Linked DNA regions of Arabidopsis thaliana. The protein of the gene in region 2 interacts with the protein of the main gene of each other region in a pairwise test. Each region holds a gene or a part of one and is shown on either strand. Other genes may lie near its edges.

Region 1 (11,504 bases), about 12 Mb from region 2:
ATCCATCAATTCTAAGATTTTATCCGTGGTATAAAGTTTAAATGTTTATAATGTATAAATTTCTTATAAATGTTGGACATTCAGTTGAGAAAGACATCATATTTACCAAATCTAAACAATCTGTAAAAAATGTTACTTCTTAAATGTCGGCATCATTCATACACTTCATCGCCCCTGAAAAAAGTTTCGACTTCTATATAGAGTGGAGATAAACTTCTACGCAAACTAGTAGCTCCTATAATTGGCGACTCCCCATTTAATAAGGTGCAAAAACATCGTAATCGGTTTTAAAATTGATAGCTTAATTCTTTCTATTTTCTGAAAAAAAAATCTTTAGGTCATCATCAATGTCTGCCAATACTGTACTTGGAAGATTGAGTTTGACAGTGTGATGAACGCATCTTGCTCTTGATTAAATATATTTTACTTCCAAAAACGACACACAGTTTTCATCTCCTATGATAAGCCATGCCATGGTATGCGTCAATCGTCACTCTGCCCATTGTATACTAAATTTCTTTCTTTCCATGTTCTAAAGTTTTTTTTTTTTTTTTTGTCGTTCTTTCTTTCTTTCCATGTCCTAAAGTATTTTTTATTTTTTGGAATTACGAGAAAGAACCAAAAAAAACTTGGCTAATGCAAATCTTTGATGTGACCACGGTAGTTTCCATACCTTGCGACCGTATATCTGTATTTATCGCCACAATCGAGGATAAATATGAATATTTTACACATAACTCTAATAGATCTCCCAAATTGTATATAAAAAAAGAAAACTCCGATAGATCTAGTTTAGCTTAAAAAATTGATATGATTCTTTACACAAAACGGTAACAAAGAATTTAGACCTCCATATTTAATTTATATATGTATGCCCACATAAAGCAACATTGTTCTAAAACGCTGAAAGTGAAACATTTAAATATTCTTCCGAATAAATCGACGTGTACACGACATTGTCACCGTTGATCTATTATTGAAGCAATATTTAATTCCTCCGTAAAACATTATAACTCATCCGTAAAGACCGTGAAACATTATAACTTAGCGGTAATATGTAAATTTGTTGTGAAATAATAACATGAAAAGAAACCGAAAAGTTCCTCTTGATAACTTTTTTTTCTTTTTAATAATGTAGATTAATATAATTTTCGTTAATTATGTTTTAATGAAAAAGATTAATTAAACAAACTAATCAAATGTGTTAATTGTAATATACACAATGATACAAAAAATATGAAATAAGTTTTTAAAAATATGTGATATTCCAACAATATTCCAACTTTTCTATAACATCAGGTAAATATTTCTTCACCTTTTCATGTCAACATTTTACAAGAGAAGCATAAAACAAAACAAAAAATCCTCTCGGCAACCATATGCCTTTTAAACTAATGAGGATTTGTACTTTTTTTTTTTTTTTTTTTTTTGGGCACAAACTAATGAGGATTTGTACAAAAGCTAAATGAAAAGAGCTACAAAACTAAGCCCATAGACATATATCTCATGAAGCCACTCCAGATCACCTGATGCTACATCAAACTAAGAATGGTTTTAATTAATATATGGGCCTCAGCTGAGGAAACAAAAGCCCATTAATTTGCTTCAATATTGGTTTACCCGTTTATTCTACATGCCACGTGGAAGAATATGAGTGGTCACGATATTATAAAATGCGTCAAGGTAAACAACAAATAACAAACTCGTTTTCGAGCAAAAAAACTTTGAAGATTGATTTGAAGAAGAAAGCTCTCTCTCAGGTTCTTGTTCTCAACCAGACATTGATTTCTTCGATTTGCATATTTCCCTTCTTCGTCTTACGAATTTTACTTCCTTTAGCGATGGATTTGATACTACGTTGACTTTTATCTTCCTTTTGGAAATGGCAGCGTCGTCTTCTCTTCTTCTTCTTCTTCACTGTCCCACCTGCAATTTCTACTTTGACTCTTCCTCGTACCTTAAAAGATCGAGACTTTCGAGCTATAGTTCGATTATCTCTCGTGGGTCTCCTTTGTTTGTCTCTAGCTTTGGATCTATGACCGTTAAAAGATTCTCTAGCAGAGTCGGAAGCAGGAGCAATGACGGTAACGAACAATTTGGAGCGTTGGAGCAAGAATCTTTCATCAACAACTCATCGGAGATACGGAAAGACTTGGTCACCGGCGGTGGGATTGAAGCCATTGTTAATCGTCTGGTTAGTTAATGGAAATCTCATTCATGCACGCAATGTGTTCGATGAAATGTTTCTTCAGTATCAATGTGTGTTTCTTTCTGACCGGTTTTAATTAATGATGACAGAGCAAATGGGTTGTGTCTGTTCTATTTGGTTCAATCATTCTTTTGCGACATGATGGTGCAGCCTTGTGGGCAGTCATTGGATCGATTTCGAATTCTGCTCTCTCTGTAGTTCTTAAACGTATACTTAACCAAGAGAGGCCTACTACAACATTGCGATCTGATCCCGGGATGCCATCTTCTCATGCTCAATCCATTTCTTTCATATCTGTCTTTGCTGTTTTATCCGGTAAGCAGCTTAAGCTGTTCACTACTCATCGTTCGCTATCGTGGAACTGTTTACAACGGATTCACTCGAGTCGTGTTTTCTGCAGTTATGGAATGGCTTGGAACCAACGGTGTGTCTTTGTTTCTTAGCGGCTTAATCCTCGCATTGGGTTCATACTTTGTAAGTCTGTTATAACAAGTTTCACCTAATTGATTCAAGCTTTTCATTCATATATGAAATCATTTAGTTGCCATTGATCTCACACTCTCTGCACTATCACAGATACGGTTAAGGGTTTCTCAAAAACTGCACACAAGCAGTCAAGTGGTGGTGGGTGCCATTGTTGGTTCTCTTTTCTGCATCTTATGGTACACAATGTGGAATTCGCTTCTTCGTGAAGCCTTCGAGGCATCTCTATTAGTGCAAATATCTGTATTTCTGTTTGCAGCTACATTTGCGCTAGCTTTCGCAGCGTACGTTGTACTTAACTGGTTCAAAGACGAGAGATAAGCAATACCAAGCTTTACTTATAAAGCTTAAAATTGTTATCCCTCAAATTCTTTTCAAAATATCGAAATGAAGGATTCAGAGCCCGTTTGTTAAAATCAAGATTTTAAAAAATAAGGTTTCTTTAAGATGTAAGCAAGGCAAGCACCTTACACTAGAGCTAACATTGAATGTTAATAAGAACCAAACCGAACCAAATATTAGTGACTGTGGCTGCCACTCATCAGTATGCCACCGCAAGAAAAATGTGTTTGCAGCTACTCGGAGCTATACATCCTCTTGAGAACAGTTAAAACAATAACCAAATATGTATATATTTCTATTCACAAGGCGTACGCTAAACGTCCTGTATCTTTATTTCTCTTGCTTGCATCAAACCCACTACGTATACAAGAGACTTACTTAATCATTCATCCTTAAGAGATACTTCAGATGATGGTTTGGCTGCAGGAATGTAAGACCATGCCAATGCCGCGCTTCCTAGAGTAATGGTTGCTGCAATTGATCCCCAAATCCATCTCTGCCTCTTCTTTCTCTTCTGCCTCTCTCGTCGTGCCACCTCTGGTATCAACAGAGTTGTGAGATTAGATTTTTATTATACGATAGAAAATGACAATGGATAAATTTGGTGAATGAGAGTGATTTTCTACTACCTATGGCTTCTTGGTTTCGTTGAGACATCTCTCTGTTCACGGCCTCGTAGTAGTGTAGACGGTCAGACAACCGTGTGATTTCAAAGTTCTTAGTTTCGAGCATAGATTCCATCTCCATCTCTACCTCGGCCTTTGCCATACCTCTGCCTAAAGAGTCAGAGACAAACCTCGCAATCTCGAGTTGACAGCGTAGTTCTTCTGATAGATTCATGTTGTTGGTGGAGGCGGTAGGATCAATAGGAACGAACAGACCCACCTGAGCCATCTGCTCACGGAGTCTCTGCCAGTGAATTTGCATCTGCTCCAAAGCCTCCTCTGTCTGTTTTCTCTTCTCGATTTCCATTAGTAAACTCAGCCTTATCTCACTTAATTCAGATTCGATGTTATTAACTGAACTCTGCATTCCACTGTCGGTTGATAGTTCTGAAAAACCAAGAAATTAGATGGATTACAAAATACTAAATAGTTCCGAATCATAGAGTCGAGTTAAAGCTTAACTTTCAGGATACTTTGCAGATACTCATCAAGGGAAATGAATAATGCATTAATCATCATGATTTGGAAAGATAACTCATCACTTTCAAATTTCAATATATCCAGAAGAAAACAAAATTCCAAAGCATGACAAGGCGCTACTACTGCATATTAAAGAAAGAATACCCTCAAATGCTCAAAGGTTAAAAAGAAGGGACTCTAAAATGTGACTAATCATATTATCCTGGGAACGTTAAGATCATAAGCATTGACAGCCATCTCATAAGGAAATGATTAGTAAGAGAATAAGATTTAGATAAGTACCATCCCAAGCATCATAAAACTCTCCCACAGGTGTGGCAAGTCTTTGTGAACTTTCGTCCCCAGCATCACCCTCTACGTCTGTGTTACTTGTGAAGCTTGCTGATTCACCTGGGTCATAGAAATCTTCTGACTCACTCTCCTTGTCTGTTTTAATAGGGACTGGCTCAGACAGACCATTTACCCGTTCTAAACCATTAGCAGCGTTATCCAACTCTGACTTCCCATTCCCACTTTTCCCATCAAGCGGACTCCAATTTCCAACAGGACCATCAACAATACCATCAAAATTATAGTTTCCAACCGTACGAGCATGAACTCCATTGGAATAATCATCTTCAGTAACCTCAGTGATAGGAAACGAGAAGGAAGTGGACCTCCTCCGAGGGGAAACCTTTACATCTGTTTCAGCAGTAATAGTTTCCTCTTCCAGCGTCTTCTGGTGGGAAGAAGACACAACATTAGCCTCAGAAGAGCTTTTAAGAAGACGTGGAGGTCCACGTGATTTGTGGTTGATGATATAAGGCGACGGTGGGAAAGACGATGGCGAATTAGGAAGCGGAATCGCATCAGGTGTGGCGTAGAGAGCAGGTGACATCAGAGGACGAGTAACTGTCCTCTCATTAGGTAATTTACCTTTACCTTTCTCCAGTTTTGATATCGGTGGCTTTGAATAAAACAAATTAGTTGTGCTTGGAACACTCTCGACAGACGTGGAAGCCCCTGGCTCTAGCATTCTATCCAAAGCAATAGCAGAAAAAGTAGGCATGGCTCTGCAATCATTCAAGTATCAAATTAGTAATAAAAAAAAACCGAAACCACAAAGAGCGTTTCTTCATTTCAATCGAATCAGAAATCAACCAACAATGGTCATTCGCATAAGTGAGAATTAGCTATTGGGAAGGTACAAAGCAAACACCGCGTGCTCAAACCACAATCATCGGTATACCTAAACAAAACTTGATTCAATTCTCGCACGAAAAAAAGAAGCTAGCAAAATCAAATCACAAATCTGATAATCTAGAAGCTAACAATAGGTCAAGCCGATGAAAATGAATCGAATCTCTCGAGATTCAGACCTACCATAACGAAAATTTCCAGAAATTTCACCGAAACAACAAACAGAGAAAGGTGAAAACATCAAATCCGGAGGCGTAAGAGAAGGATTTACCTCGAGCGCGAAGGAGATCTCCACGGAAGAAAGCTGAGGAAGATTCAACGGTGAGAGATCGAGGTTATACGGAAGTAAGACGACGGCGGAGAAGATAAGAAGAAGCGTGATACGACATCGTTAAGAGGAGAGGAGGGAAGAAGAAGAAGAAGAAGAAGAAGAAGAAGAAAACCTCTTCTCCAAGGCTTTTTTTATCTCTTCTCAGCTTTGTATCTCCGCAAATATTTGAAACGCTCTGTTTTTTTTTTTTCTTCTTCTTTGCTTCTTCCTCTATTCTTGGCGACCCATTTTCTGATTTTCTTCGTTTTATTTTTATTTTTTTAAAACGTGTCTTTGGGAGACATTTGGAAAGACGGATATAACCTTTGACGGTAAGAGTTACAGCAAAGGACGGCGCTATACAATGAAGGGGTACTTTGTGTAAATAAATCGACGGTAGGGTTTCGTGAAGTGGTCGAAACGACGTCGTCCAAGGGATCTTGTTTAAGTGGGGTCACATCTCGAATATTCAGAAACGTCACTAAAACGGTGACGTGGCCTAAAAAGCAAATTAACCCATGGCCCAATTTTTGTCTGTTCACGAATCTGTAAAGCCCATTTTGAAAACGATTTTAAAAGTCTTTTTTTATTTTCTTGTCTTCGTCAAATCTGGGATTTTGATAATATTTTTAGAGCCAGGTTTTTCTTAAACGTGTTACGTGACCCATGTGAACACGCTTTTAATAAAGAGCGAGTATTCAAACTTGGTTAACAATATAGTTTTAAAAAAAAACTGGTCTTCACAAGAAATATGAGACTATGATCATATCTATTTTTTTCTCCTTAATATAATAATATTTTATTCGTAACTTTATTTTTTGATGAAAAGGGAAAATCAAATATGCATCTGTTACTGGAAATTTTGAATTTTTCTTCACTTTATTTTGAATTTGTTCTCACTTGATTTTGAATTCTTAAAATAAAAGCTAAGGTGGGAAATGAAGAATATAGAACATGATTCAAAGATATCAGCTCTGGGACCGCTTCTATATTAGCAACTACTACGAATTGATTCAGTTCATATAACATATCCTTTTAAATAAGAAAACCAAAATCAACTTTTTGATCATATATTAAAGTCAAGACCCTTGAACTTATCTTATTCTTCACGGAATCTCCATGAGAGTGTACAAAACACTCATCAATTCGTGCAAAAATGACTAATACATTGTTTGATGCATCTTTTCGAATCGAATCAAGGATTGTTTGGCTTTCTCATAGATTATATATTTGGAAAAAAAAGACGATATACAAATCTTTTATTCATTTTCCTTGACGAATCTATCTGTAATGAATCACTGGTGCGTTAGAACTCGGATCCCACACACCTCCTTCTCTCACATACTCCATATACCTAGCAAACTCTGGTTTCGCCGTTGCTAAACTCTTCTTCTTCGCCGTATTCTTCTTCTTTCTTTGAAAATGAACGTCAAAGAAACTAAACAAAGGATGAACAGAACCACCGGTTGGTTTCGCTGTCGGTGTCTTCTTCACTTCTTGAACCGGGTTTCTTGAATGACCATAAACACTAGCCGGAACGCTAGAGACCCTCTTCAGTCTCGCTTCTTCATCGCCGAGCTTTTCGTAGCCACCATGGATTTTCCTTGTGCTCATGGCTCTAAACATGGTGTGATGTGGTGTGGAAAAAAAGTGGAGTTCCTTTGTTTGTGTTTTAGGTGAGTTCTTGAAACTTTCTTCGTGATGGTGTTGATTTAAGTAGTAGGACAAGTTTGCTTTGTGATATGAAAAGGAAAATAGTAGATCTGTTTGACTTTTATTTTAATTATTGTTGTGTGTATGAGATCTCCAACTAACTAAATTAAATTTTTGTATATGTAATTAATAAAGCATGTGTTAGTGTTACACCCACATGATGTATACATCTTCTTGTTCGTCCCTATTAAATCGCCGGTCAAATGTGTGTTTATGCTGACTATTACGTCTACATCTTTTAGACAAATCAAATGGACAATGGCTTTAGAGTTTAGACTAATCTTCTTTGTCTGATCCATATCTAACAATATATTAATCATGGAAAAATCTAAATTTGGGGTAAAAGTAAGCAGAATAGATCTATTCTAGAATGCTAAATCTGCTCCTTACGATGGTTTAACATCAGACTGTTATCATGCATGTACATGATTATGAATCAGATTTTTCAAACAAAATCAACTTTCTATTCAGACAGAAAAAAAAAAGTATGAATCAGAATTTTAAAACAGCCATTTGAAGGATAAAAAACGCTAGAAGGAGGGGTCGAACCTCCGACCTTGTGGTTAACAGCCACACGCTCTAACCAACTGAGCTATTCCAGCTAATTGTACTAACCATACTTGTGCATTAAATTATTAATTACACACGTTTTTCCCTCTTTATTTGAAGGTCCAATTTTATCACTTTGTTCAACCACAAATTAAGTAAAAGAAAAAAATAATCCCAGATACAATATAAAACAATCAAAACATACAAGATTCCACAGATTTATACTCAAGATTTTGAATAATTTGAAGGGCAAAAATTATATATAAAAGCAAAACAGGATTGTAAAAATTTATTTCACTTTTATCAGATCATCAAACTATTCACTAATGTTACTATTGTTTCTCTTCATTGCTTGCTTGTTATTATGCATCCAAACCTTAAAAACTTGTCTCCTCAGATTCACCATCCTACAAAACTTATCAATCTCTTCTTCATCTTTCTTCTGCATCCTCCACCCTAATCTCTCTGCAAATTCCTTCATCTTCTCCTTTTGTTCTTCATTGATCTTTGTCCTCACTCTCTTCTTCTTCCTCATCATCATCATCATCAAACTTTTCCCATCAACGTTTTGGTTACGATGACTCAGAATCTTCTTCATATCCTCGCTTGAAGATGAAGTCCTCCGTCCAATCTCACCCGTTGGATGCATTACACGTGGCTTGTACGAGCTGTTACTGCTGTAAAACGCCGGAGTTATCATCAGCTGATGATCTTGTTTACTGTTCCTGTGTCCGTACACTTCTTTCCGGTGGAAGCTCCGGTGACAGTTACAGGCGGCGCATTTTAAAGCACCGAGTGTACCTTCTTCTCCGCCGGCCATGAACTCGCAGCATCCGTCCACCACGTGTCCTCCGGTTGAGGCCGCGTGGTTCTTCTGACATTCCCGGTACTTAGCTCCTTGGTCGACACGTGTCTTTGGTTTTTGGTTTTCTTTCTTGATCGGGAATAAAGCCATGGATGGATCTGATTCGGGTTTGGCTTCTGGTTCCGGATCCGTATGTGGCTTTACTTCTGTTGAGATCATTGTTGTGGTTGTAATTGCATTGCATTTTCCTCCAAGCTCCATTGTGAATCTGACCCAAAACAACAAAACTTTGTTAAATATTAATACTTATAAATCATTCAATAATGCATGCAAAAATCTCTCCTTTAATAATTAATAGACGACTTTTGGACTCACCTTAGGGATTATAGAGATGCTGCTTATTGTTAGAGGGGAGGAGTAGTGGAAGATGAGATTGATATTGATGATGAAGAAGAAGGAGAAATAGAAATTAAGGATGATGATGACGTATGTGTGTTTGTTTCCTATCACCCATCAAGTTTTATTTCACATGAGAATCCAACAAAAATATTGATTTTAAAAACACAAACCTACTAGAGAGAGAGAGTGTGTGTGTATGTGTGGTGGTGCCTCTTAATTTCGAGACATTGTCATATGTTTGTTATCTTTCACCACCTGCACCTTTGGTCCATCTCCCATTATTGCATTTATCTCTCTTTCTCTCTATTTTCTTTTATGATGATTATTGATGGTGTTACTAATTAATGTATGTCTGCAAAAAAACCTAGCTTAGTCAAACTATTACCTACTAAGTACAGACTTGAGGAGTGGAGAGAGAGAGATAAATGAGAGGAAAGTTATGGGATTATTTTAAATTAGTTAAATGGGTTAGTTTTCAAAACTTTTTTCTAATGTAAGTTAAAATTATGTCTTATGTATTGTTAGTTATAAATTTTTAGGACTATGATTTTAAGTTCTAACATATCATAAAATAGATTAAAACTTCGAACAACAATGTTTGTCAATCCTTTATGCTGTCATAATAATAGTAGGAGTATCTTTATTTATCGATCTCCACAAATTCTTTGATCAGATTTATTGTGATAATCAATGAGAAAATAATACTCTTACTATCATTATGAGAGGTATTTATGGTTTGCATGGAGTTAGAAGTTAACTACTATAGCTTCAATTTCCCATACAAATGGAATTAGGGTTTCTAATAGAGTTGTTTAATGAAATAAGCTTTAACAATCAGAGTTTAATGATAGTCTTGAAAGAGAAGACATGATAAATTATTTTTCTGGTGGGGAGGGTTGAAGAATTAAAAGTGTGAAAGAATGAAAAGCTGGTCCACATAAGCACAACAAAACCTGCACTTTTATTTATCTCCACATGCCTCATGTCTCATTTTTCAGATTCTTTGTTTCCCACAGCTGTGTAGCACTTTTATGATCATCTTCATTTCTTACCAAATATTGAAATCAATCAACGGGAATAGATTAGCCATATACTAAACTTTTATTAAGAGGTTTGAATGTTACGCGTGACATCTTAGACTTTTAAATTCGTCTCTCTGAATAAGAGTAATTTCTTCCTATAACTATTTTAAGTTAAAAGAAAGCAAGGGTTGATTTCACATCTGTCTTGGCAAAATCAGATCCAAGCTATCTACCACTTGATCAATTGGGCCGGATGAGACATTGGGCCAAGCCCAGTACAAGACAGAAACAAAAGACTTGGTAAATAAGCCATGCTTCTCAATATCCAAGTCAAATGAAACCCCATACATGATACATGTTTACAACAGTCACAGAAATATAATCCGTGGAATACAGTTAAAATACAAGAAGGATTTTTCTTACGTGCTCCATAATTTACAGACACAAAATAACTCAGATTACCAGCAAGTGAAACTTGGAAAGGAAGTGATGGGCATGGAAAAGCTTCTTCGTCACAGGATCATATTAACTGCCCGATTACTGAAATGATTGATTGCAACAAATCACACTTCAACGATAACTACCAGATATAGAAGCTTCAGTGATAAAGTATCGTCATGTTACTTACTAGGATTGATACTATTGCTAGATAAACAAGATACATCAAGAAAAGATAAATACTTTATGATTCTTGTTTTAAGATTTGGGAGATTTCTACTTCTAGAAAGCATTCCAAACAAAAACCAATCCAGAGAACTTAATGTCAAACAAATGTTATACTCCTATCCTTTCTAATCATGTAACTGTTCAAATTTCCAAGTCAAGCATGAAATATTCTATAAAGAATCAAGTTTGTCTATGTAACATAACAATTCTAGTTACTATCAACCTAAAAAGAGAGGTATTGTTAAACTATTACCAGGCAGGTGCTATTTGGTCTTACGAGACTCGATTAGTCTCCACATGTACCATGAACCAACAGACCTATAAGGACGCCATTTCTCACAAAGCTGCTCCATTTGCAATGGACCTGGAAGATTTTTCAAACCATAAAGATCTTTCACACCTTTCCTCACACCAAGATCTCCCACAGGCAACACATCAGGTCTATGCAACGAGAAGATCATAAACATATGAACAGTCCACACTCCAATTCCTTTAACCAAAGTTAACCTATCAATCAACTCTTCATCACTCATTTTCAGAATCAATTCATCAGAAAGCACACCGTTGTTGTATTTATCAGCTAGATCGTGGAGGTAACTAGCTTTTCTCCCGGAGACACCGATCTTACGAAGATCAACGGCGGAGAGTGAGATCACAGATTCAGGAACAACACCTGCTTCTC
Region 2 (11,504 bases):
GTTACAAACACTTATCACTAAACTGAAATGAAGAAGCACACAAGAATAGCCATGGCTATAAATGCAAAGGGAACTTCTATTGCTTTTTCCTCTGCCTTTGATGGAGAAGAAGCAGGAGGCTGACTTCTTGCTTCAGGCAATGGTGGTTCCGTCACATCTGAGTCAAGTAGTGCTGGATATGGAGCTTCAGCTGGTGGAAGAAGCATTGGATTCGCGAAAGTTATGAGCTCACCGGTTGTAGTCAGACCAAATTCGCCGTAACACTTGTTCTCTGCAATCAAACATAATCTCAGATTGGCTCAAGGAAAGTTAAAGAAGATATAAAGAGAAGATGAGACTACTTTCTTACTTCTGTATCTTGCAGTGGTTGCTGGGAAGTCAGTGATGATGCCATCAATTTGGACATCGCGGACAAAAGAGTCTATCTCTAACGTTGGATCATCGTAAAAGTCAAATGCATGAGTTACACACTCGTTGCTAAATCTTTCAACGTAAACACGAAGCCCGTTTGATTTTAGCTTTGAAGCAATATTTGTCTCCTTTTCAAGGATGATAAACCCTTTGTAGGGAAAGACTGATTTCTTACTGATGACAATCGAGCCTGCGAAATTCTTGATGTCTTTGATCGCCGAATCTGCTACATCACGGATGTTGTCGTCGACTCTATAGACCAGCTCGTCATGATTCATTTTGTTCTTCTCCTTGAACTTCATCAAGACAGACTTATCAGTAGACTGGATCAGTATTGTTCTTGCACTTGTCTTGTTTTGTTGAGTAGTAGCTCTCTTCAATTCATCTAGTACCGCATCGACCACGCTAATTCCTTGATGTTCCACTAAATAAGCTGCATTCTAAGAAACGAAAAAATGCTATATCAAGAAAAGAGTCATGTGTTGTACTTATTTACACACAAGATTTGCAGATAGAACTCCCACCTCCACTTCTATCAAGAGGCCTAAGAGAGAGCTGTAACGGTTTGGAAGAAACAAGAACTCGGATAATGTAAGAAACTTCCCAGCCTTGTTGTTTCTTGGGTTTCTGAATAAACCAGAGTCCTTTTCAAGATTCGAAATAGTGGCTGCAATAAAGAGGGAAACAAAGCCAATTCATTAAAAGTCTTTATATTGAATCTTGATTTTGCTTTGTAGTTTTGGCTCTTACGCTTCAAGGTTTGTATCTGAGACATGGTCAGGCTAAAAGTGTAGATACCACTTCTCCGTGGGTTAATCTCTGAAACTACTGATGACAGATTTCTGAAGCTTGTTTCGATGACATTAGTGCTGTTTATAAGATCAAAGGAGCTCATACAAAAGGGAATCTTGTCTTTAGACATCTGGACATTGCAATCAAGAATATCAGCCCCGTCGCTTGCAGCTCTCTGATACGCCAAGTCAGTACAGCCCGGGAAATCTCCACTCGCTCCATTCTTCGAGATAATAGTTATCTTAGCTGCAAGACATAACTGTTAAAATGCAACTAAACGATTTAGTGATCATATGTTTATGGTTTTCTCTTGTGCATTACCTTGCTCCTTAGCTCTTTTAGGGTCCACATGAGAGAAGCAATCTTGGAAAGAAAACAAGAATCATAAATGTAGCTATATGCAATGCAAAACTAGATGAAGAAACAGAAAAACAGTGTGTTTTTTACTTACTGATGGCTCGATATGGAGTCACCGGGAAGTCTGATAGGAAACCATCAACGGAGAAGTTTCCGTTGTCAATGAAAGATAGATACTCAGCCGTTGGATCATAGCTGTAGTTATAAGCAATTACAAAATCATTGGCAAACTCCGAGGCGAAAACTTGTAAGCCTTCTTTATGAGCATCTGTTACAAGCGACGTGTGGGGTTGTAGGTAAAGAGCTGAATCTACGGGCCATATGTAAGATTTTGGAACAAGAATTCCAGAAGAAAACGTTCTTATATAACTTAGATTCTTGGCAAGAGAGCCGTAAGATTGGTTGGTGAAGGGTTCTATGTGTTCTTGTTTCAGAAACCTAAAGATGAGTTTTGTCACAGTCGGCTTGACACTGTTTTTCATGCTCTTCAGGAAACTGATCCCTGGAGAAGATATGAAGTTAACTTTCAGGCGTCTTGATAGAGAGACAACAGAGTTTCTCATACTCAAATTGTGTTTTGCGTAGAAAGCACTGTCCTATAAGTGTAGAGACGGATAAGTAGAGGAAGAAGATTACTTAATTATGATTCTTATAGAAAAGACTCTGAGCGTTAAAAGAGTATCTACATTATACCTGAATGTTCAACCAGAGGCCTGAAGCTGTCAACTTTGCTACTTCTTCAATAGCCAATATCGAGGATACATCATCGAATATATATGGTCTTGAGACAACACCCTGTGCCACTGTTGAGGGGAAAAAACATTTGCAGAGTTGATATACCACAAGATTGAACATTTTGATTTAAGAAGTTTCACTTACAAGAAGAGGGTTTAAAGAAACGAGATATAGTTAAAAGGACTTACATTTCACATCAGAGAGTTCCTTCCATGTGAAATCAACAGAAAACCTTTCTTTGTAATGTGGGTCAATTCTTATGACGTTAGAACCATTGTCAAGCTTCAGATTTGGAAAGCAGATTCCAACACCATCCTTTGTTAGTTGAAGATCACACCAGAGCATTACGTCTGGTGAAGTTGTTATATTCACCAACTGATATGCTTGAATACTGGAATCTGGAAACATACCAGAGAATCCGCCTCGAGCAATCACAGCCGGAGGTTTCCCTAAAGAAAACACATCAAGAAACTGTAAGGAACATTTATGAAAAATTCACGTACATAAAAAGTGAGAGAACTCTGTCTCTAACCACTCAATGTTTGCCAAGAACTTGAGAAAGCAGTCTGTAAAATGAAGAACGTGATCAGAATCAGAAAAATCACTCTAGGACACGCCATGGTAGTGGAGAGCTTTCAGTGTTTCTTCTTACTTTTTTTTTTTTTGCTGAAGATGGAGTGAAGAATAAGTGAATTATTGAACTCATGAGCTGTTTAGCAATAATCTACACAATCTACCACGTCCTAAAAATGGAAAAATTAGCTTAAAACGTAATCAGACTCTGCAGTAGCATTAATTGTAGTTTTTCTATATTTGTGAGAAGAATGTCACTATTCTGAAAATGGAATAAAAAGAACTTATTTTAGCTGTCACCTCGTTAAGTAGAGCCTAGCTACTAGCATGAGAATTTTTTCCGAAAAGCATTTTTGGGTCTCCATAACATTTCTAGCATGAGAAAAGCACATTTTCTAAAACTATGTGTCACCTCCATTGATGGACCTTTTAGCTTAAGTTTCCCTTTACATCAGAGCACAAATCCAACTTCTCCAAAAGAATCACCATCGCACAGCTTGAGTCTGGTTTCTATACTCTTGCAAAAGAGTTTTGCCTTTGTTACTGCATGAATCAAGATATACTTTAAGGAGAGAACAAACACATTGAAGATTTTTTGTTGTGATGACACAAGGTTACAAAGAAGTTTTGAGGATCAACTTCTATTTTGTTTTACGATGTGCTCATCCCCAGATCCCAAGTGTGTATCGAAACGGCAGATATATCTCAATATATATAGTAGTATAGCTCAAAACAGTTTGTGGTTACAAAAACACGATGACAAGAAAACACAAGACCATATGCAGTTCTTTGACTAATACAAGCTATTAAGGCGTTATGACAACCGCATTGTGTACACCAAAAAGAATTCTAATCGACAAATTCAACAACGGATAGTATCATCTGCATGTAGCAGAACCATCATTCAGCTTTTGCTGGAAATTTATTGCCACCAGTAGCGATCTTGTATACGTAAAAACAGGTCATGAGAGCACTGCAATACAGATATGGTTCTAGAGTTAAGTCAATGGTGTAAAAACTTAAAAATACCAAATCTTGATGCAAACAAAGATACTAGCCAGCCAGTGTTGAAGGATTTTTACCTGATCCCAGCAACCAAACCAGCCGGCATAATCTTTCCAGTCAGCAAGTAACGCTGTCCCATGACTAGTGTGAGAGCAGCTGCGATGACTGTATCGAAAAAAAAAGAAACATTCAGATGAGTTTCAGTCACCATAGATAATGAAAATCGATTTTGCAAGCTTGTTATATCTTTGAGGTTGGTTCTATTGTCAATCAATGGCAAGAACACTAATTAAAAACAGCTACTCAACTACAACATCTAACAACTCAAATTGAATGTTCATCTGCAGTAAAACAGCATCTTGTCCAAGAGAGACACTATTACATTAGTGGAAAAAATTAGCAAACCAATTCAAATACTGCTGCAATTGAAGATCCAAACACAACCAAAATATTAATTTTTTTTTATCTTTGAATAGCAAGTTTAGCATCATCACACAAATCACTTATTCAGATCCAGATCGTTAGTGGTCCAATAAGATCCTTAACCTTATAACATAACCTATCATCAACTCTCAAGCTAAGTTCATGATCCAACACATTGAACCATAACAAATTGAAAACAAAATGAAACAATTCCTTGGCTCAAGTGATAAGTCACTAAAAGCTATTCACATCTTGTAATTGAAAGTCTTCCCTATGGACATCTAACGGAATCATACGAATAAATCTTCCTAAACATAAATATCTGTTAAAGACATATAAACCCAGATCGCTAAAAAGGAAAGAAATTTGCAAGAAAAAAACCTGTCTGAAGAACCATAGCAATAGTGGAATTCTTCTTCTTCTCAAAAGCTTTGAGACTGATATAACCAGCGAGAATGAGTAATAATCCAGTGCCTGCACCTCCGGCGAAAGATGTTATACTTCCTTTCTTCATGTACCCGATAAATCCTCCGCCGATGAGAAGCATCCCGTACGGGATAGTGAAGCAAAAATCATGCATTTTTCTCGTGCTGGGTTTCGATTATTTTCACCGGTGATGAAGAAAATTGAAAGAGCGATCGCAATCGATGAATTGATCTGATAGAGACGATGGATCGATGAATTGATTTTATGAAAGTGTTGTGTGGTGAGCGCGTGGAAAAGGTCCGCCTTTTTTCGTCAACGGTCTTCAGACAACTAATCCTCCACTTACGGTCCATCATTTTTGTGGCCTAATTGTAATTAATTTGTAATTTTATATGTATCTCAACTTTATATTAATGTGATGAAGAATGTTTTTTAGTATTGCATTTTAAGATAGTGACAGTTGTTGTACCTAATGTGAGTAATGTTCAAAAGGAAATAGTTTTCAACATTGTTTTGTATGTCACATTCGTTGAACCATCTACATTGACAAAATCTAACGTATGTCACTTTAGCTTCTAGATTTTTTTTTTTAAGATTATAAATAGTGGGAAAAACAACACAAAGCAAAGTGCAAGTTTACAAAATTTTAAAGTTGGAACTATGATTTCTATAGAGTTGGTGAAAATCTTCTTCAATGGTGTGATTAAGAGTCCCATTGCTAACAACATTACAAGCTTGTAGATTTCTATATTTAATGGACTATTTTACTGAAATTCTCACTTTATGGATATAATTAAGGTTCCAAGAGCATTTTCCTGAGTTCTTGAGGCCTTTTCTTCAAGCATCCGGAGTTCACAAGAGAGTTTAACCAAACTTCATCAGACCTTGTTGGTTCGTCATCATCGTTCCTATGCCAGGTCCATAGCGCATGTGTTGAATTCACCATCTGAAGCTCCCCATGTCCAAAGCTTGCTTCCCTGAAGACTGACCACTCTGGTGACGGATCTTTGTACCTGAAAGTGAAAAAAACACGATCCCTTCATGATAAGTATCAACTACTTTCATCATATAACAACTGCACCGTAAGTGTGATTAGTTTCATGTAGATAATATGTTGAATTAGCTCAAGAATCTCAGACACTAAGATGCAGAGGTTTGGCATGGACACATCAGAGAATTCTTGTTCATAGTTTACTTATAACACAGAAAGAATGAAGATTTGATAAAGCTAGAAGTAATCAGTTTGAGGAAATTACTTGCGAGCCAATCCTTCTCTGTTTCCTCCATCACCTATGGTAATGTGTACGGGACCACATGGATCTGATTTACCATTGTTGACACGTTTCTGTCGAACAGCACAATAAACCAGTTTAATATCATAGGGAAACAAGAAGAAAAGCTGAGATATATTTCTATTGAGATTCAACACAGCTCTGAGCATACCGTGCGTTCATAAGCATGGACATGACCAGTAAATACAATATCAACACCGCTCGCATAAAGCAAAGGCTCCATTTCAGCCATCATTTCATCACCTTCATGTTGATGGGCATTGTTACTGTTATACCATGGTACATGGAAGAGGACTATTAGCCACGGAGTTCTTTCTCGGTCCACCTTCGAGAGATCAGCCTACACATATCATAGATAACACCAAAATTAAATCCAATAAGTGTAACAGAATCTGCTGATCTTAAAAGATTATCTCACGGAAAAAGATTAATTCAACCAAGCACTATTTTACTAACTACTTAGACCTATTGTGGCAATAAAGGGGAGATACACATAACAGATGGATGTCAAGCAATAATCCTTACCTTTAACCAGCTGTATTGATCTGAGTACCGATCATAATCTGTGTATGAGCCAAGCATGATCGCATGGACACCAGCAACCTCAAAGGAATAATAAAGATTTGAATTTGACCCACTTTCCTCATACGGCATCTTCCACCTCGAGTTGAAAGACACAAATTCATCAACTATAAAAGGAATACTCTCTTTCTCATGGTTTCCCTGTGTCACCATCCACGGCCTTACACTTGCCAGAGGCTGAACTAGTTCCCCAAACGTGTCCCACTTATGCTGCATATAGTCCGCATACGATAGATCCCCTGGAAGTAGATGCACAGCATATTTGCATTGATCAATATGATCTAGAGTCGACTTAGTCCAACCGGTTTGTCCAAGATCCCCCGCCACTGCAAAAGTAATCGGGAACTGAGCTGGTGGTGTTTTCAAATGGAACTCAGGTCCTTCTCCACCACAACGGTAATAATAAACAGTATCCGCTTCCAATGGCCCAATGACGGTATGATGTATCTTCCCTGATCTATACATTATATAGCTGTAGGAGGTGCTTTCTCCTTGACCAAGATAAGAGTATTTCCCTGGCGATGTTCCATATTCAACAAATGAAGGAGACGATTTGTCATTCGTAACCCAAGTAACTCGCATATGTTTATCTCCAGCCAATGAGATATGCACCTGCAGGTAAGAATCTCAGTATAAGAAACAGGACCAAATGAATCTAAAAACAGAACCTTTGATGTTCATTATCAAGTATCAACTGTATCATGCACTCCATAGCTACAATTTCACTCAAGCATCAATGTTTTCTTCAGAATGAAACAACACAATTCATCTCCATTGTTATAAATAATCATTTAGGAAAAGGCCATTTTTACCCAAAGTAGTGATTAGTGAAGATTACTAATGGCGTTGATCAAAACTACACAGTCATTAGATTTATCCATTAGAAAACTAGTGTTGAGAAGACTTCGGGACACTAGCAAATGGGATTCTCTGGAGTAAGCATAAACCCAAAAATCGGATCTTTCGGAGAAAACAAACAGAGACCCACATGCAGTTACAAGAATAGAAAGATTTCAGACAATTAAAAACATGATTTTTTCGGAACAAGAATCATCAAAACAGAGGAGAGCTTAAGGAATTCTAATTTATACCTGCTCGGGTACAGAAGAGGACTTTTGTTTCCATGGAAACTGCAAGGTTTCACGAGGTTTTGGTCGGACGTAATCATCTGCGGCCGCAGAAGTAAAGATTATTGACACTGATAATGTTACGAGTAGCAAAATCCCCCATTTTTCCATCTCTGCGAGCTTTTTCTTTCAGATTCAGTGAGAAAAGGTAAATGGATTCTTTATAGGCTTTTGCGACGCGGGCACGACACGTGTCTAAATGACTAAATTGTCCTTACCATATCTCGTATGAATGTGTTGATTTTCATTTTAAAAGGATAAAACGATAATTCAGTCTGTTGTCTTGTCCAATGATTTTTGTTTTTTCTTATAATTGATTTCTTATGATACCTTATGAATTTTGGTTTATTTATTTTTGTTTTTTTGCAATGTATGAAGTATTATCTGAATATTAGTATGGTCCAAGAATGAAAGAAAACACTAATCCAAGAATGACTAACAAAAAAATGAAAAAATAAAGTTGAAGAAGTAAAATGATATAAATAAAAATAGAAAGTTAGAGAAAAAGTAAAAACGGTGAATCGAGATGCTGTCACGAGAGCAAATGACAAAAAATGGAGGACAAGCCTTAACTTATAAGCAATGAATGAAGATAAAACAAAAATAAATGACAAAGTCGACCAACAAAAACAAGATACAAAAATAAAAGATGACATTGGATTCGTAATTAAAACATCTTTATTTTACACTTTTTAAGGCCAATGATGTCTTTGGTAATTCGAGTTCGAGCACTCGTTAAGTGTGAACAATTATGATAAAATGTGTTCATATGTCAAATTAGTAATACCGTGATCGTGTCACCAATCAAATTTATTTTCGGTGTAATGAATAACTCGTGAATTAAGAACTTCCATATGTCCAATTTTTGTCTTAAAACATATTATTGCAATAGATATAGAAATAAACAATAATAAAAAAATTGTAATCGATATGTATAATGTATTTATACATTACAAAATATTTAACATGATTTTGAAATTTTGTAAATAATTAATTGAAATTAGTATTTGTAATCGAATAATAAAAGTGTTGTCAATATGTCATCATCATCAGAATTTATAAATCCGAATAAAAAAAAAAGATTAGTTGATTATACAATTAAGAACAACATTAGAGTAGATGGATGCATACATTTCGCATTAGAGGAAGATCAGAAATGGAGAAGGAAAATAGTGAATCTAATGATTCATTAGCGAATAAGGCTTCTCTAAGGAAAGCATCGTCAAATTCACTTCCCAATTGTGCATCTTTCTCACTACATGGCGCATATATCTGCTTATGTAATAATTTGTTTTCTAATGTTCTGTATACTGACTTTGTAATTTCAGTTTGATATCAATGAAATTATTTGCCGGGAAAAAAAAAAAAGAAGACCGTTCACCAAATTAAATTATGGGCTTTATCCAACTTTGAAATTTCACGGCCCATTCTGATTTTTTTTCTTTCCAAAATAATTATTTTCTGCGGCGGTAAATATCCCGACGAAAATTAATACATGAGAAATTGAGAATCACTTGAAATTTTTTTAAAATCATGGATTGTGCGCTAGGCGGGGAATTTTTACGAAATCTCAAGCTTCTTCGGCACACCAAGGCGCCAATTCCATGTCTTTGAAGTCTCTTCATCTCCTAGTCCAAACCCTAAATTCATTCTCATGGATTCGATTGAGCCACCATCGTTTTCGCTAGGGTTTGATCTTGATGCTGCATCGGATCTCCAATCGGAAATCCATCAAAACCCTAGCTCCACCGGCGACCAATTAATCGGGGACGGCGATAACGAGCCAGAGTTGGGACTTACTGTCTCAGATTCCGATCGGGAGCTTGAACCAGATTTTACAAGCCCGGTTCTCAAGCGGTTGCGACGAGGGATTAATCCCAACAAGTGTTCTGTGAAAGATGATAGAAGCGTAGCTGTAGAGGATCGGGATGATGACATTGAAGAGTTCTCTTCTCCTGAGGATTTTCCTACGGGTAATTACAATTTTGAGCTTCTGCTTCGTCTTTTCGAATATGGGTCTTACTTAAACTGCTGGAATAGGAATCGAGCATTGTTAGATCTCTTATTAAACGTCAATGAGCTGATTAGCCTATCTTTCATTCATTAGGCGTCTTGGATCGTGAACACATTGATAGAAAGACCATCCCTTAGTTTATCATAGAGAACTTAAAACTGATGGATTTAGGAAGCCTGATGCAAACCCTCTTCTATTTAGATATCAGGATCAGTTTGTTGTGGCTCAAAGATGAAAACTTGATTGCAGTTGTTGACACTAATAGGTAGACTAGAGTGGGTTTGGAGCCTTCAGGCTGAGAATTTGTTATTTATAAGGACATTGATTAAGCTTCATTCCACTCAAACTGGTTTCTTTTGGATTTCTTTAGTGTAATATTTTAAGTCATCCATATTGTGTTGGTTTCATCTTGGTATAAAACTTGTGTTGCTTCATGCAGACGCACCGGCCTCAACAAGAAGTCATTTTTCTAGTTGCAGCTCAAGGGTGCCACTTCATGGTTCTGGGGTTTTATCTAATCAACCTTCTATCTCTCGGGGAAAAAGAAAGCAGTCGGATGTTCAAGCATCTGCTGCCTCTGGGATTAGTTCTGTTGCATCGTTGTTTCAGATGTCAAGTCGTAGTCCTCTACGAAGGTTCCAGCTACTAGATTCAGATTCTGAAGATGACCATCCATCCACCAGCAGAGATTTAAGCGGAGCAACTAAAAAACATGATTCATTCTCAAAGAATCAACCATCTATTGCAAGTAAACCGAAGAGAAAGGAACCTGGATCTATCCCCTGTATTAAAGATCTGTGGAAAGATTTTTCCCCGGCAAGTTCCAAGATTCAGACACCAGCTTTCGATGATGTTTGTCAGGACTATTTTATCTCCATCAAGACGACTAGCACAGCTCAGAAACAAAGCAGTGCTGTGGCAAGTAGTAGCAATAGCGGAAATCATAACTTGACTGGCTTTCAGCAAACTGAGCTATTCCACGATTTTTCCCACCCTTCTCCTCCATCTCATCGTTTCTTCTTGCATAGTGATCCAAGGATCCGGAATCTAGCTCGACAGCGGTTACCAAACTTCTTTCCTCTGGGAATTGTCAATGATAGGGAGAGCCAGCGAGAGGTGTTCCTTGTTGATTATATGTAGGTTACTCCTAATCTATTTCTTATTTTGATACTTACAATCTTCTGCTTCCTGTGGATTGACACATCTTTCGAATGCCATTGTAGGAATCAATTTGGCAGCAAAGGGAGTTCTAAAGCTGGAGACTCTAGCAGCAAAAGCTGCAGAAGAGGGAAAACAAAGTCAAAGGTTTCAAAGAGCCAAGAGAGCGCACACAATTCTGAAGGCTGGTTAAATCCTAAAACGAGAGCTGCAGCTCCAAAGGATGCTGGGAAAAGGCGTGTATCTGCTGACAGTGGCTCTGCAGGTCATTGGTTCACATCCCCAGAAGGAAGAAAGGTAGGTTTCTGTTTCCACTGTTCTAAAAATACATAGAAAATGACTGGGATGAATGTGTTATACACACACGCATTCACATCTTTTAAGCATGAGAACTATTTGTTAAAGAACACATAGACAGGAACGTCTAAAAATTTGTTGTCTCTGAATTTTCTTGCTCTTTGTAGGTATATATCTCTAAAAGCGGACAGGAGTTTTCAGGTCAAAGTGCTTATAGATGTTACAAAAAGGTCAGCATCCACTGAAGCTGGTTGATACCATCTGATAATGTTATATGCATAAACCTTCTCTGTGAGCTAATTCATGGAACTT
Region 3 (4,393 bases), on a different chromosome or scaffold from region 2:
GCAACACAAATATATTCTAAACAAATTGATTGTAGTCTAATGATTAAGTTAGAATGATATCAAGAAAAAGAAAAAAGTTAGAATAATAGAGATTTTGTCATATAGATATCACAGTTAGAATAAAAATCCCATCAAATACAAATCTACACTCTTACTTTTATTTTTGATAGAAAAATTCTATGTATTTTACAAATTTCGGAGAATTTGCTCGTATTAAAGAAAATAATGCTATGTGTTTAATTCATATCTTATAACTAAAACATAATTTAAAACTTACTGTATTAATTAAGAGAAAATAAAATCTGACTTATTTAATGGAAAGAAGAAGAAACAAACTATAGCATCACAATAAATAAATAAATAAAGGAGTTAGAATTGAGCATTGAGGGATAGATGGTGGTTGCAATTTTTTTCTTTAAGTTAAAAAGCTATCCGGCCAAAAGCAAAGCAAGTGGGTCCCATCCGGCGTATCTGTCCAAAAGTCTCACTATCACGAGATCAGTGACGCTCTGATCAACCTCAGCCCTAACTTCTTCTTCTTTCTTTCTTTTTTTCGATTATTATTTCCCCATTTAATGAAAACGAAACGTTATTTATTTTAATCATTCACGATTTAATAACGACTGCTAGTACACATCTGCCTCTACTCTATACCGGTAACTGTGCGATAATCCCCCAAATTGAATGATAAATCCAACTTCAGATTCTCTTTATTTTCATTTCTCCATTGACTCTAATATTGAACTCAACTATTGAAATTTTCATTTAGCAACAAAATTTGCCAAGTACGTATGGCCAAAAATATACTCTAGTATTAGAAATTGTTATTTTAATCGTCAAGAAAGTGGTCTTTTATTAAGGCATTATTTATTAGTTTTAGGGATATGTCGCTTTCCATTAATGTATGTGTCCCCTTCTCTTACACGTTCACATAAAGGTTTTATTGCTTTGCCATTTTCCTTATTCTTCCTTTTCTCTGTTTTTTCTTCTTTTTCTTTTTCTGGTTCAAATTCTTCTTCGTTTTCTCATATCCCGGTCATATGGCAATATATCGATACTAGGTGTTTGACTCAGTTGGTGATGAAAATATACATATAACAGACTTAACAGTATAACACGAACACACGTTATAAAAGGCGTATTTTATGGTCAAACAATGTATATAGAATCTTCATATTCATTTCCTTCAAATTCTGGTTAAAAAAGAAGAAGAATAAATATAAGTGTTTCTCGCAATTTTACCGAATATATGATCAGCAACTCATGCACCATACACTCTCCAAGAAAAGAAAAACAAATCGATTTTTGGTGAAGTTCTGATCTTGCAAATCTTTTTGTACAAAACTTAGTGTAATAACTATTATATTTGATGTTAATTATGTAAATTACTACTATTCAAACATATACAAATCTTTATTAGATTGGATATTTTATACATTTCAGTCAAATTAAACGCATATATAATTTATTAAGTGTAACAACAACATACTACGGAACCAAGACAAAGGCCTGTTGTAAACTTCATTCTTGAACAAAACGCAATGCAGCCTTTTTCCCCTCCGACTTCAGGCAAACACGGACTTGTTTTGAAGCATACATGTTCATCCTCTTTTATTCCAGAACCTATATTTTATTTAATATTAGTTCATTCATAAAAATGATAAAATTACGTTCATAGTAAAAATAACAGAATAATCAGCCGGTACCAGAAACGATATCAGATGTTGAACGACAATGAACATAAGATATAACAAAGAGAATGGTGAAAACAAATGCTATCAAATTCTTTTTGGTGATAGCCATTTTATGATATTTTCTGTTTACGATTTTTCTCTATACTCATGCCCATCACACATCTATATATACAACAGACATGTAAATAGGTATCTTTTCACACACACACAAAAAAAGTATCTTTTATGGTCAAAGATGAAAAAAAAAACATAATCTTTCAAGAATTTATTTCCATAAGTCAAAAGAAAAATAAAGAAAAGTAATTTCTCATTTAAGTAGGTTTTGAACATTAGTACTAAATAGCTTTTATTCTTTTTACACACAGTTGGGGGAAAATTTACTTTTTCCTGACTATAAATCTAAGAAAATTAATTGGAAGATTTTCTCCAGTTTCATCTCTGACCAATGTGCATACTGCATAGTGTTGTTACTAATAAGGGAGGAAATAGTTGGCCTATACCCTATTATTAATTGTGATATATTTTCCAATTTTTTTTTTTTTCCTATTATTGAGTATATGATATATTTTGTATCAGTTTTATGTAAATGACATGATCAGGAATCCCTTAAATTTCCAGTTTTTAATAGTAAAAAGTGTATTCTAATATTTACCCTCACTTAATTGTCTTATTTTCGAAGCGATGTTTAGTTTTTTAGTAAAACCAAAGCAAAGTAGATTCCAAAACACTGGTGTATTAGTACATAATAATACTACGTGTTAACTTTTTAGTTATAAAATACAAGAGTGACCCATACACAAAAAAAGTAAGATCCCACTGGGTTTTGCTCCTTTCCCACACACCGTGATTGATGGTCACTCTCCATTCTCCACACTCTCACACAATTTCTCGATATTCTCTACATATTACATACCCACCACTCCACTCCCATCTTTTCTTTTATTACTCACACAAGCATGGGTTTACTTTATCTGTAATATTACACAAATGTAATCCCCATTTCCTCGAATAAAATTTGAAAAAATGAATAACCCACTGATATTAAATCAATATTTTGTTCTGTGTGTTTTTCACTTTTGACCCTCTTATATTTTCACTTTAATCAGATATAGTCCCTCTTTACGTCTCAACTACCTTAACGACGAAGCCCGCTACTTGCACAAAAGTCAAAAAAGCCCCCCACTCACTTTTCCTCTATATATACATCATCTCCCACACAAACACAAACAAACATAAACCTTCTTCAATGGAAGATTGGTGGTTTTCATGGCTCTCTAGAACAAACCTTGAACCTTCTCTCATCCACGAATACGGCCTCTCCTTCTCTCAGAACGAGCTCGAACACGAAGACATTTCTTACTTCGACCACGAATTTCTCCAGAGCATGGGAATCTCTATCGCCAAACACCGTCTCGAGATTCTCAAACTCGCTCGTCGAGATCGCAAGAACTCTCCTCCTCTCACCTCTCGTTCCATCTCCAGAGTCGTGACTGCGATTAAGAAAACCAGGAAATGTTTATCCGATCACGTACGCGCCTGGATCCGCCGTGAAGAAGAGTCGGCGTCGTCTCGAGCTCTGGTGTTGGTGCCGAAGAAGACTAGCAACGGGATTGGGAAGTGGAGAGGTGGATTCCTGAAGAGGAACAAGAGATCTGTGATGCCGAGCAATGGAAATGGTGGATTGGAGAAGCAAGAGAGGTTGTTGTTGACCAATGGGACTCCTTGTAGAATCGATAGCTTCTCAAGTCCCATGGTTTTCGATTACAGTTTCAAGGATGAGAAACTTTACGCTCAAGATACTTATTTTGAAGATATCAAATGGGATTCAATGTTTCAGAATCTCAAACCTACTTAGAAAAATCTCTAAGTTCTGTTTTATGTTTTCTCTTTCAGCTTCTTCTTCGTTCTTTATATCAGAATTGATGGTGAGAGATGAGGTTTTAGGGTTCTTCCACCATGTTTTCTTGATTTTGTCTTTGTATGTGATTAGGCTAGTTAATTTTTGTTAGTTAACAATTGGAAAATAGAGTTGAGTGGTGGTGTCAGGTGTGTATGTGAGTGTGTGGGGTCATTGTAATGAGTCTGTCTCTCCAGTCTTTGCTTTTGGCCTAAGTCTCTGTTCCAGTCAAAACTTCTTTACAGCTTTTATCACTTTTTACTCTTTTCTCAAAAAATGCTCTGTTTACACACATAACCATGACGCTAAGCCTGCCGGAGTGATCTTACTCTTGAGGTAATCGGAAAGATCTTGAGCTCAGGACACTACACAGTCTACACTAGAGCACACAAAACATTGTGCTTCCAAATTTTATCTGTTGTGTGTGTGTCAATTTTCAGATATACCTAAGGGAAGTGTAACTGAAAACCATACCTCAGTTCTTGGCTTCTTGCCACCACAAGTCACAGTAGATTCCATATCTGATGTTACCAAACCAGCAAAATGCTTGTAGCTATTACCAACGCTTTCCTCCCAATGAAGCAACACTTGATGGCATTGGGGTTGTCTGACGCTTCCTTTTCATGGTCGCCATCTTGCGTCATGAAGTTTCTTTCTTGGAGATGGCACTTAGTCATTGCAACCAAGTCCACACCAAATGAAGCTCTTGAACCTTTGCCTGGTACTGAACCAGCAATCCTATCAACCATGCTTACAACAGATCTAATATCACATACTGCAGACGAAAGCGCTTGTGGTGAGA

What was found.
Region 1: the proteins of AT3G20510 (region 2) and AT3G50910 interact in a two-hybrid assay, tested with the Arabidopsis thaliana proteins (one large-scale study listed by BioGRID).
Region 3: the proteins of AT3G20510 (region 2) and AT1G15760 interact in a two-hybrid assay, tested with the Arabidopsis thaliana proteins (one large-scale study listed by BioGRID).

The regions. Positions count from the first base shown.
Region 1 is NC_003074.8:18,913,912-18,925,415, reverse strand, and holds AT3G50910 (netrin receptor DCC), read right to left. Parts: upstream 6,090-11,504; 5' UTR 5,630-6,089; intron 5,232-5,629; 5' UTR 5,228-5,231; coding exon 4,462-5,227; intron 4,087-4,461; coding exon 3,664-4,086; intron 3,572-3,663; coding exon 3,417-3,571; 3' UTR 3,115-3,416; downstream 1-3,114. Other genes in the region: LPPepsilon1 (Phosphatidic acid phosphatase (PAP2) family protein), read left to right, coding at 1,883-2,194, 2,299-2,524, 2,610-2,683, 2,786-3,013; AT3G50900 (uncharacterized protein), read right to left, coding at 6,950-7,294; HB28 (homeobox protein 28), read right to left, coding at 8,247-8,996; AT3G50880 (DNA glycosylase superfamily protein), read right to left, coding at 11,086-11,504.
Region 2 is NC_003074.8:7,154,256-7,165,759, reverse strand, and holds AT3G20510 (Transmembrane proteins 14C), read right to left. Parts: upstream 5,084-11,504; 5' UTR 4,877-5,083; coding exon 4,678-4,876; intron 4,039-4,677; coding exon 3,951-4,038; intron 3,842-3,950; coding exon 3,769-3,841; 3' UTR 3,365-3,768; downstream 1-3,364. Other genes in the region: SVL3 (SHV3-like 3), read right to left, coding at 18-271, 350-851, 936-1,078, 1,162-1,449, 1,525-1,566, 1,655-2,156, 2,254-2,363, 2,484-2,744 and 1 more; PAP18 (purple acid phosphatase 18), read right to left, coding at 5,516-5,735, 5,979-6,067, 6,166-6,354, 6,540-7,208, 7,688-7,834; AT3G20490 (Rho GTPase-activating protein), read left to right, coding at 9,378-9,696, 10,177-10,873, 10,961-11,192, 11,360-11,422. UniProt on the Arabidopsis thaliana protein: May be involved in free fatty acids export.
Region 3 is NC_003070.9:5,422,774-5,427,166, forward strand, and holds AT1G15760 (Sterile alpha motif (SAM) domain-containing protein), read left to right. Parts: upstream 1-2,842; 5' UTR 2,843-2,940; coding exon 2,941-3,549; 3' UTR 3,550-3,893; downstream 3,894-4,393. Other genes in the region: AT1G15757 (Molecular chaperone Hsp40/DnaJ family protein), read right to left, coding at 1,469-1,623, 1,707-1,803; AT1G15770 (mediator of RNA polymerase II transcription subunit), read right to left, coding at 4,119-4,393.